3 linked regions of the Mus musculus genome follow. Each later gene encodes a partner of the first gene's protein in a complex. Links are inferred from orthologs where the notes say so. Each region holds a gene or a part of one and is shown in the gene's direction. Other genes may lie near its edges.

Region 1 (3,696 bases):
TACTCAGCTGACCTTCCCACTCCACCGACTTCTCAGAAGGAAAAGCCCCTTCTCCTTCATGCACTCTTAAATACCCTTCACCTCAAACTCTCTCCTTTCTCTTGCTCATGTTCACTCTCTTGTCAGCTGGCTACTTGCTCTGCCGCCTGATCTAGGGTTGACTTTATTTAGCTCTTGGATTAATGTGCGCGCTAGGTAGGGGTGAGCCAGGCTACCTATACTTGTTTACAGTAAACAGAAAGTTCTAGGATCAAAGGCTGAGCCACAGTTATTAACAGATTCTTCCAGTTCACAATCTCAGGGCTCATAATGTGATCCAATATCCTGCAACCGGAAACTGTTTAAGCAGGGCAGTTGGATAATCAGATCTGTTTCTTACATGGTGGGTCTTACCAACTCAATTAGATGGCATTCAGGTTTCGGCGTCTGAAAGAGTGTATGCTGCTTGCACGGTGTGAATTGATTTTTATGCCTCGAAAAGGCATGTGTCCAGCATACTCACTTGTACTCTAGTGCCCACTTGTGCCAATGTTAATTGGGCCAAGAAAGTGACTTTTTTTACCCCCAAGTCTGTCCTTAAAATGCCTAGCTTCTTTATCTAGGGTTGGGTATAAATACACACAGCTTTTGTCTGTCTAAACCTTAATCTTTCCACTTTGTCACCTTTGCTGTAAACGCACGGTTCAGGATTAGGCTCTTCCTTTCCCAGCACTCGAATCCCAAGATTGCACGTTGCCGGGAGTCACGCCCATCTAGGAAATTGCCGGAGCAGGAAGTTTGTCCCTCTCGGCGCGCTGTCCTGACGTAGTCGTGCGCAGGCGCAGTTCTTCATTCGGCGGCGTGTTCTTCTCATCTAAGTTCCTGGTTCCCGGGCTGTGTGCGACGCCGGCTTTTCGCGGTCTACTTACTCCCTTGGCCGGCTCTGGACTGTCGCTCTCTGCCTTTCAGCGCCGGGACCACTGCTTGTGCGCGCACTGCACGCCTCCTCACGCGACAAGCTCATGGCGGAGCGCGGGGAACTCGATCTGACGGGCGCCAAACAGAACACCGGCGTGTGGCTGGTCAAGGTGAGTGAGACGCGAGCCCCGCGGGGCGCTTCCGAAAGTTCTGGGTCCGTCTTGCTCGGGCCACCGCTGTTCTGAGAAGCGGGTCGCTGTTGCGTCCGTTTGCAGGTTGGAGAAGTTACTTTAGGGGACACAGGGCGTCTTTCAGGCCGTCTCTCAATTTCATCCGCCCACCATGGAACTAACTCTCTTTACCGCCAAGACCTGGCCTTCCTGGAGTCCTGACCCGGTGGTCCCCGAGTGGGCAGTACATTTACCCCAGGTCGGAAAAGTCCTTGCGGTTTTCTTTTTGGTAAGGTTAACTTTAGTTATGAACGTGTATAAATTACTTGAATAGATATTCCGTACAGTTTTCTGGACCACAAAGTGGAGCTGGTCCCTGTGTACTCTGTTGTTTTGAAACAATCTCTCTGTGTAGACTTGGCTAGCCTGGAACTCGCCATGTAGACTCCTGTCGCTTTACACGGCTAGTGTTGCCTGGGTTGGTAATTCAATTGGAGCCTTCGAAAGACCTAGAAGTTCTGAATTCAAAGAGAAGTTGTTGACTTCGTGTTTTTAAAGAGCGAGTTTAGGATTCATGAAACCAACCAGCAGTAAATGTTTTAAGTGGTCATGCGGCAGACCTCGTTTGCCCCAGTGGTCGCCATCTATTCGGGTCACTTTTTTTTATATGGGGTGGGAGGCTCTGTGGGGAATCTCATTCTGAAAAACCATATTTAAATGGGATCATGAAAGTTTCCCAAACTTGTTTTTTAAATGGTTTATCTTTGTAATGAGTGTTTTAAGTCCATGGCTGAGTTCTCATCAAGACAAAGTGTTTCTTCCTGTCCTTTTCTCTGAAACAGCTCTCGTCGTTTGCCAGCACAGCAGACTATGTTAAGTTCTTCAAACCCCTGAACAGTTTCTAGTGCTCCTTTGTACCTGTCTGTATCTATTGTTGATGCCCCTACCCCCAAGTCACTTTCTTTGCACTTTGATTAGTGTTTGGCACATATTACTTTTCCAATATGTGATGAATATAAGAAATTGAAAAGGCACACGCCTTTAATTCCAGCACTCGGGAGGGAGAGGCAGGTGAGTGAGTTCCAGGACAGCCAGAGCTATACAGAGAAACCCTGTCTCGAAAAACCAAAAAGAAAAAGAAAAGGCTGTATGTCAAAGAGACACAAACTAAAGTGGGTAGGAGTTAGTCCTGTCAGTTTCATCGGCGGGCGATTAATGAAACACACCTCTGGGTGTTTCTGGTGCTGTTTCTGGAGGCAAAGTAGGTCACAGGGCTATGATCTAATTAAGGGATTAGTTACTCTGTTGGTGGATTTATAATGTGACTTCTCTGGGAGGTAGTGAAAGGTAGTGGGGCGGGGCCTAGTTGGAAGAAGTAGATTCTGGCTGTATGTTCTTAGGGCTGCCCTGGCCCTCTCTGTATCTCCTCTATATCATGGCCACTGTGGAGTGAGCTGCAGCACTTTTCCTTGTTTTTCCCACCATGACAGATAGAAACTGAGATACCCAGTGCAAAATAAATCTTAAATTGTTTCTGTCAGATATTTGGTCACAGTGACTAAGTCTGACTAAAACAGAGAATACAGCAAAGGGTTATAAGTAACAGGAAAAACGAAAACCTATTCTCTCCTTTCCTTTCCCTTCCCTTCTCTCCCTCTCTCTTCATCTCTCCCTCTCTCTCTCTACCTTTCTTAGTTCAGGCTGGCCTGGAAGTCTCTGTGTAGCCCAGGCTGGCCATAAACTCATGGTAATTCTCCCACCTAGGTGTGTGTTAGAGCACCTGTGCTTGAGTATTTATGTTAGATAAATACACAGATATATATCTTAGATAAAGGAGAGCTACCAAATAGACAGGACTGTGGTGTGCACACCTTTAATCTTAGTACTTGAGAAGTTAGCCTGGTCTACATTGAGTCAGGGGAATGTTGTAAGACCCAGAAACCAGAAGAGGGCATTGGATCCTCTGGTATTACAGGTATGGCTGGTTATGAGCTGCCATGTGGGTACTGGGAATTGAACCCAGGTCCTCTGGAAGAACAGTCAGTGCTTTAAAGCTGAACCATCTTTCCAGCCCTTATCAGACTTAAATAGCAAAACCATTAAAAAGTCCATATGGTATTTTGAGATACATTGTCCACAGTCTCACCTAGCTTTATTTCTGAGTTGTATCACTAGCCTTAGATTCGGTTTTCATATCTGTAGACAAGGGAGAGTACTTTGAAGAGTGATTGAGGGGATGAGTGGGTGGAGGGGATAGAAAGTCTACAAGGAGTCTGACAGAATTGTCTCCTCAACCTTCCTCTTTTCCAGCCTCAGGCCTATCACCTGACACACTTTGGTAGTCTACTAAGTTAATATCATGAACATACAATCAGCCTTTTTTACTCCTTTTTTAAAAAAACTTTAACTGTAATCAAAGTACTGTACCCCCCCCATAATCTTGCTAGACTTCCTTGTCTCCCCTTTGCAGCCCCAACACCTATGTCTCAGTCTGAATTCATTGTGATCACATTGTTATTCCAAGATTACTACGAGAACTAATGCTGACAACTGACAGTCAGTGAATACTTATTCTCCACAACACATATGCTTCGTGTTTTATTAAAGTCTCTTCTTTGCTTCTCATAAC
Region 2 (3,747 bases), on another chromosome or scaffold:
AAGAAAGAAAGAAAGAAAGAAAGAAAGAAAGAAAGAAAATAGCCAGACATTATGGTATGCACCTTTAATCTCAGCACTCACTCCGGAGGCAGAGGCAGGCAGGTCTCTGTGAGTTCAAGGCCAACCTTGTTTATAGTGTGAGATCTAGGACAGTGTCAGAACTAAGTAGAAAGACTCTCTCAAAAAGAAAAGGGACTGGAGCTCAGTGATTAAGAGCACTGACTGCTCTTCCAAAGGTCCTGAATTCAAATCCCAGCAACCACATGGTGGCTCACAACCATCAGTAATGAGATTGGATACCCCCTTCTGGTATATCTGAAAACAGCTACAATGTACTTATATATAACAAATAAATCTTAAAAAAAAAAAGAAAGAAAAGAAAGGATGAAATGAAGGGAGGAAGGACTAAAAGGTGATATTTGAGCAAGAATCCAGAGATATGAAATAACTGACAGCATTGTCCAGCCCTCAGGTGGGTTAGCCACAAGCTGGGGCCAGCCACCCAGGCTATAGAGTGAGCTCCGGACCAGCTTGGGTTACATAGTACGACTGTCTACTGAGGCCTGTACCTCATGAGATGGCTCATGAGGTACAGGCCTTTTGACCTGAGTTCGATTCCCACACATAGTGGAAGGAAAGGACTGAACCAAATTCTGCAGGTTTCCTCTTCCTTCCACAGGCCAGAGGTATTGGATTCCATGGAGCTAGCCCTAAAGGTGATCGATCATAAGCTGCCTGATTTGGGGGGTGGGAGTGGAGAGTGGGGCGGCTGGGAACCCTGCTCCTCTTCAAAATCAGAAAGTGCTTTTAACTACTGAGTGATTCCTCCAGGCCCTTAATTAATGAAGTTTTGTTTGTTTGTGACCTATGCTTTAACGTCTGAGCCATCTTTCCAACCCATATTAATAAATGCTTAAAAACACGTGCTAGGCAGGGCAGTGGTGGGAAGCAGAGGCAGGTGGATTTCTGAGTTCGAGGCCAGCCTGTACTACAGAGTGAGTTCCAGGACAGCCAGGGCTACACAGAGAAACCTTGTCTCGAAAAAACAAACAAAAAAACAAAAAAAAACACCCGAAAAACAAAAAAATCAAGACGGTCTCCAATTTCTCTGTTATTCTCTCTTAAACACTATTTTCACGACTTGGACAACCAGAACAGAACCTGGAGGAGCGAAGCAGCAATGAACTCTATCGATTCTCTCGACTCTCTTCTTTCTGTGTTCTGCTCGAAGTCCTCGGCGATCCTCAGCGATGCCTCGGGCACCACTTCTCTCCGAAGTCCGCCCTCTCACCGCCATGCGCACGCGCCAATTTTCCGATTGGCAGAGTGACGGGAGGACTCGGCCAATGGCGTCCCGAGGAAGGTGTGTCTCTGGGTCACGCCCCCTCGTTGAATATTCAGGAGCGGGCGTGTGGACGCCGCGATCAGCCGCCATGAAGTGAGATGGGGTCTCTGAAAGAGCGGGCGGCTCTGCGGTGGGCAATGGGGCGGCGGGTGGGCGTCGCCGGGGCTGGGGCGCGGCGTGGAGAGGCTGCGGAGACCGGTCCGGGTGGCTTCGGGGTCCCTGGCGGCGAGACGCCACGAGGGCGGGCGGGCGGGCGGAGCGGAGGCCGAGGCGGCTCGAGAGCACCGGGCACCGACGCCTCACCGCCGCCAGGCTCAACGTGGACGGGCTGCTGGTCTACTTCCCGTACGACTACATCTACCCGGAGCAGTTCTCCTACATGCTGGAGCTCAAGCGCACGCTGGACGCCAAGGTGGGTGGCGAGGCTGCCCTCCTTGCATTCTGATGCCTCTGGCAGGCAAACGTCCTGGTCGGGGCCCGGGCCTTGCTATCCCAGCACCCGGAAGACCCAGGCAGGAGCATCGCTGCGATTTTGGAGGCCAGCCGGGGCTACACAGCGAGACCGTGTACTAACAACAATTGTAAATAACAAGGCGAGGAATGTCGCTCAGTTGGTAGGGTGCTAGCCTAGCTAGCAGGGGTGAAACTCTGGGTTCCATCCTGGCACCGCATAAACTGACTGATAGTAATTACAATTATGCCTGTAATTCTAGAGACAGGGTGGCTGAGGACAGATTGCTCGAGTTTGAAGTACAGTCTGGGTTTCATAGTGAGTTTCGGGCTAGCTAGGGCTATGTATAGGAAAACTCTGGAGGTATTCCTGGTAGTGACAATAGTGGAGGGAAGAAGGGGTTCCGTATGTGGAGGTCAGAGGACAACTTTGTGGAGTTGGGTTTTTCCTTCCACTTCTATTTCGGTTTTGTTTTGTTGTAGATTTATTTGTTTTATGTATGTGAGTACACTGTAGCTGTACAGATGGTTGTGAGCCTTCATGTGGTTGCTGGGATTTGAACTCAGGACCTCTGGAAGAGCAAGCAGCCAGTGCTCTTAACTGCTCAGCCATCTCTCCAGTCCCTCGTTGTGTTTTCTGAGACAGGGTTTCTCTGTGTGATTTTTGCTGTCCTGGAACTTGTTTCATAGACCAGGCAGGCCTCAAAGTCCCAAAAGATCCACCTGCCTCTGCCTCCTGAGTGCTGTGATTAAAGGCATAGGCCAACACCACCCAGATTTCTTATCATTTTATGTGGGTTCTAGGGATCAAATTCAGGCTGTTAGGTTTGATAGCAATCGCCTTTACCTGCTGAGCTATTTCAACAGCCCTGAACACAAACTTTTTAAAAAAAGTTTTCTTTTAGGTATACTTATTTCCAATGTGTGTATACATGCTACAGTGTGCACGTGAGGGTAGAGTTGGTTCTTTCCTTCCGTGTATGTCTTGGGGATTGAACTCGGGTGATCAGGCTTGGCCACAAGCACCTTTACCCGCTAAGCCATATTGCTGGCCCACCAATGTATTAGCCCTCACAACCTTGTTCCAAGTAAGGTTTATGGAGCTACTTAGAAGCAAGAATGCTGTGATCCTGAGAGGTAAAAGGTTCCTACTGTCTGCTGCTCAGTAAACTCATTAGCTGTGTCAGTAAGAGGGCCACAGAAATAGGGTTCAGCCTGCAGTCCCAGTACTCAAAGTAGAGGCAACAGGATTGCCAAAAGTTCAAAGCCAGCCAGAGATTCTTAGTAACTACTAGGCCTGCATAGCAAGATCCTTTGGGGTAGGCGGGTGAGGAATAAGAATTAACAATTAAAAGTCCAGCAGAAGAGGAGGAGCGGAGACTATCAGTCCTGGGGCCTTGACAGCGATGCCACTGCTGTGTGTGTTGCCTTGCTGTTCCCGGGTGGTGGCATGTCAAGGAGAGTTCCCCAGAGCGTACGTTGATGACAGAGAGCCTGTGTCTTACTACTTCTGTGCCCAATTTTCAGGGTCATGGAGTCCTGGAGATGCCCTCGGGCACTGGGAAGACAGTGTCCCTATTGGCCCTGATTGTGGCCTATCAGCGGGTGAGTGGCCTTCTGAGTGCCTGGAGTGGGGGCTGAGGGGTGGGGCTGGATGGGGCTGAGGTCCCTGTCACCCACAGGCTTATCCGCTGGAGGTGACCAAACTTATCTACTGCTCACGGACCGTGCCAGAGATTGAGAAGGTGGGCAATGCAGATGGGACCCATGCTCTGCCCCCTCCCCTGGGCCTTGGTGGTCCCCCATCTCTGCCCTCGGTAGCCCGGTGGGCAAGGACTTGTGCTTGCCCTGTGGTCCCCACCTAATGCTCCCATCATCTGAGCAGGTCATAGAAGAGCTTCGTAAGCTACTCAGCTTCTACGAGCAGCAGGAGGGCGAGAAGCTGCCGTTCT
Region 3 (3,747 bases), on another chromosome or scaffold:
CATGCCAGTTTTTAGCAAAGAATCCTTTATCACGTGTCCTTTCATGTGCTTGCTTTAGCAGTACATCTCTCTCCTGTGTCTGCTTCAACTAAATGTTCCTTCATGAGTCTGCCTTACTCTTTCACCTGTGTCCACTTCAGGAAAACACTCCTTCACGTGTTAGCTCCAGCAAAATACCTTCCAACACAACTGACAAACCTTAAGCTTCCACTTTACCCAGGACTTCAAAAGAAAAGGCAAGAGAATTGTTAAAAGTTCAAGGCAAGCTTCCTCTACAAAACAAATTCCAGGCCGTCCATGGCTACATAATAAAACCCTGTCCCTCAAATAGAAAAGAAAGTAAGCCTAGTGCATGCCTGCAGACATAATCTTTTTGTTTGTTTGCTGTCTTTTTGGGGTTTTTTTGTTTTGTTTTGTTTTTTAAGACAGCCTTGTTTATGTGCCCCTGGCTGTCCTGGAACTCACTCTGTAGACCAGGCTGGCCTCAAACTCAGAAATTCACTTGTCTCTGCCTTCCAAGTGCTGGGATTAAAGGCGTGCGCCATCATGCCCAGCTAAGTGATTTCTTTTTAATTATGTGTACTTAATAATGTATGCTACCTATGTGTGAGTATGAGCCTATGAGTACTGGTACCTTCTGAGGCTACGAGAAGATTTCAGGTCCCCTTAGAGCTGGAGTTGTGAAATGCTAGTGTTAGTAACTGAACTCAGGTCCTCTTTGAGAGCTTTATTTTTATTTACATGTAAAAAAAAAAAAAACCGTTATTCTTATTTTATATGTGTGAGTGTTCTGGCTACAGCTATGTCTGTTCACCACAAGGGTGCTGTGTTCATGGAGGCCAGAGGGCACTGGATCCCCTGGGATTGAAGTATAGATAGAGAGTTGAGTCAGCATGCTTGTGCTGGGAATCAAACCTGGATCCTTTGGAAGAACAATCATATCCCCAGCTGCCTAGCCTTTCTTTTTATTTTACAAGCATGGGTGTTCTGCCTGTATGTGTGTTTGGGTACCACTCACATGCAGTGCTGAAGGAAGCCAGAAGAGGATGTCAGCTCTCCCTGAGCTGGAGTTACAAAGAAGAGTGTGAGCTACCCTGTGGGTGCTGGGAATTAAATCCTGGACCTCTGCAAGAGGAGCAAGTGCTCTTAAGGACTGAGCTATTTCTTCAGCCCCCAAATTAAATAATAATAATTTTTTGGTTTTTTTTAAATATGTGTAAATGTTTTACAGGGTTGTATACACAGCCCAGGTTACCCTGGAACTCACTTTGTAGCTGTGGCTTAGCCTTAAGTTTAGAGATCTGTTTGCCACGGCTGGGTTTAAGGGCATGTGGTAAAAGTCAGACCTAAAATAACTCACATTTTTTGGTTGGTTTTGGTTTTGGTTTTGGTTTTGGTTTTGGTTTTGGTTTTAGTTTTGGCTTTGGTTCTTCGAGGCCGGGTTTTTCTCTGTAATCCCGGCTGTCCTAGAATTTGCTTTAAGTAGGAGGGGAGTATGAACGGTGGTGGGCAGGCCTGAGGGGCGGGGCTTCATGTATCCCCGCCCATGACGTTAAGACTCAATCAGCGCTGCGGAAGCGACCGCAGAGAAGTGGTGGGACTTCTGCAAGTGCTTCCGGAGAGGTCTCTGCGTGGGAAGTTCTGGGCGCTGCGGGCCAAGCTTCTGCAGAAGATGTTTTATCACGTGAGCTGGATGCGGGGTAACTGTGAGGGGCAGTCACAGGAGGATCCTGGAGGCCCGGAAGGGCCGACAGGTCGCCTCCTGTCCTCAATGTGGCTGGCTGAGTCTCCATCTTCCTTTCTCTGCAGATTTCCCTGGAGCACGAGATCCTCCTGCACCCACGATACTTCGGTCCAAACTTGCTCAACACGGTGAAGCAGAAGCTGTTTACCGAGGTGGAGGGGACCTGCACTGGGAAGTGAGTTTCTGCTTCACAGAGAGGTCTGCTGAATGCACGCACAATGGCGCTAGTCTCTAACCTCTTCTTAACTCCTTCTGTCAGGGCTTGTCGCTTACTCTGAGGAACCCTTTCACCCCTCCAGGCACCTGAAGCAGCCAGTTTTTGCCTGTTTTAGACACTCTGAAAAGCTACTAAAGAAAATTTTCTTCCCTTATGTGAGATAAGACCGTTATTATGCAAATGTTTTTGAGTTTTGAGATGGCCTCACTATGTGGACCAAGCTGGGCTCTAATTCAGAGATCTGCCTGCCACTGAGTGCTGACATTAAAGGCTTTCATCACAATTCTCTGACTCGTTTGTGGTTTTTGAAAGACCTGTCTCAGCTTTGACCCTGGCAAGTCCTCCTGCCTTAGCCTACATGGTACTGAGAGAATAGGTGTATGTCAGCATATCTAGGCCTTCTTGGGCATTTACTGTACCATCATGAGAGCATCATTTAATATTTCATGTGCTAAGCTGGTCGGGGGTGGCGCATGCCTTTAATTCCAGCACTTGGGAGGCAGAGGCAGGTGGATTTCTGAGTTCAAGGCCAGCCTGGTCTAAAGAGTGAGTTCCAGGACAGCCAGCGCTACACAGAGAAACTCTGTCTCGAAAAAACATATATATGTGTGTGTGTGTGTGTGTGTGTGTGTATATATATATATATATATTTAGGTGCTAATCTGTGTCCTGTCTCTTCTTGATCAATGAACCATCTGAACAGAGGTTCTTTCACACAGAGACTCTTATTGCTGGTGGCTTTTCAGAGGCTCTTCACATAGCTGTCTTCTTTCATTTTTCATGCAGATATGGCTTTGTAATTGCTGTCACCACCATCGACAATATTGGTGCTGGTGTGATCCAGCCAGGCCGAGGTTTTGTTCTTTATCCAGTGAAATACAAAGCTATTGTTTTCCGGCCCTTTAAAGGTGAAGTGGTGGATGCTGTGGTCACTCAGGTCAACAAGGTAAGAGTATTATTCATAGAAAGGTTATGGGGTATTTCCTAAGGTGAGGGTTCAGTCCCTAGTCCACTTACTAGTTGCCTTAAGTCTTTTGTTGTTGTTAAGATTCATTTTATCTTAGTTTTTTGGTTTTTCTTTTCTGGTTTTAGGGTTTTCTTTTTTCTTTTCTTTTCTTTTCTTTTCTTTTTTTTTTTTTTTTTTTTTTTTTTTTGAGACAGGGTTTCTCTGTGTAGCCCTGGCTCTCCTGGAACTCACTCTGTAGACCAGGCTGGCCTCGAACTCAGAAATCCACCTGCCTCTGCCTCTCAAGTTAAAGGCATGTGCCACCACTACCCAGCAGGTTTTTTGTTTGTTTGTTTGGTTGGTTGGTTGGTTGGTTTGATTTTTTGTTTGTTTGTTTGTTTTTGTTTTTAGAGACAGGGTTTCTCTGTGTAGTCCTGGCTGTCAGTTTTGTACTTTTGTTTTTGAGGCAGGGATTCACTGTGTAGCCCTGGCTGTCCTGGAACTTACCCCATAGACCAAACTAGCCTTAAACTCAGACATCCACTTACCTCTGCCTCCTGAGTGCTGGGATTAAAGACACGAGCCACCACCACCCAGCAATTTATTTTAATTTTAACTATGTGTACTTGTATGTTATCTGGGGTGAGTGCAAGCCCATGAGTGCTGGTACCTTCTGAAGCTTCAAGAGGGTTTCAGGTCCCCTCCTACCTGGAGTTGTGAGACCCTGGATATGGATGCTAGGAATTGAACTCAGGTCCTCTGCAAGCACGGTTATGCACTCTTAATTATTTAGCCATCTCTTCAGTCCCTTAGGTCACTTTTTGGTTCTTCACTTTCCTT

The links.
Region 2: Gtf2f2 (region 1) and Ercc2 share a complex: the UniProt entries of both Homo sapiens proteins name them as parts of the TBP-based Pol II pre-initiation complex. The link is inferred for Mus musculus from reciprocal best matches to the Homo sapiens genes GTF2F2 and ERCC2.
Region 3: Gtf2f2 (region 1) and Polr2g share a complex: the UniProt entries of both Homo sapiens proteins name them as parts of the TBP-based Pol II pre-initiation complex. The link is inferred for Mus musculus from reciprocal best matches to the Homo sapiens genes GTF2F2 and POLR2G.

What each region holds. Positions count from the first base shown.
Region 1 is NC_000080.6:76,008,051-76,011,746, reverse strand, and holds the start of Gtf2f2 (general transcription factor IIF subunit 2), read left to right. Parts: upstream 1-881; 5' UTR 882-1,001; coding exon 1,002-1,067; intron 1,068-3,696. UniProt on the Homo sapiens protein: TFIIF is a general transcription initiation factor that binds to RNA polymerase II and helps to recruit it to the initiation complex in collaboration with TFIIB.
Region 2 is NC_000073.6:19,380,622-19,384,368, forward strand, and holds the start of Ercc2 (general transcription and DNA repair factor IIH helicase subunit XPD), read left to right. Parts: upstream 1-1,395; 5' UTR 1,396-1,433; coding exon 1,434-1,438; intron 1,439-1,657; coding exon 1,658-1,757; intron 1,758-3,322; coding exon 3,323-3,400; intron 3,401-3,477; coding exon 3,478-3,540; intron 3,541-3,680; coding exon 3,681-3,747. UniProt on the Homo sapiens protein: ATP-dependent 5'-3' DNA helicase. Component of the general transcription and DNA repair factor IIH (TFIIH) core complex, not absolutely essential for minimal transcription in vitro.
Region 3 is NC_000085.6:8,796,396-8,800,142, reverse strand, and holds the start of Polr2g (DNA-directed RNA polymerase II subunit RPB7), read left to right. Parts: upstream 1-1,585; 5' UTR 1,586-1,672; coding exon 1,673-1,684; intron 1,685-1,809; coding exon 1,810-1,919; intron 1,920-2,747; coding exon 2,748-2,907; intron 2,908-3,747. UniProt on the Homo sapiens protein: Core component of RNA polymerase II (Pol II), a DNA-dependent RNA polymerase which synthesizes mRNA precursors and many functional non-coding RNAs using the four ribonucleoside triphosphates as substrates.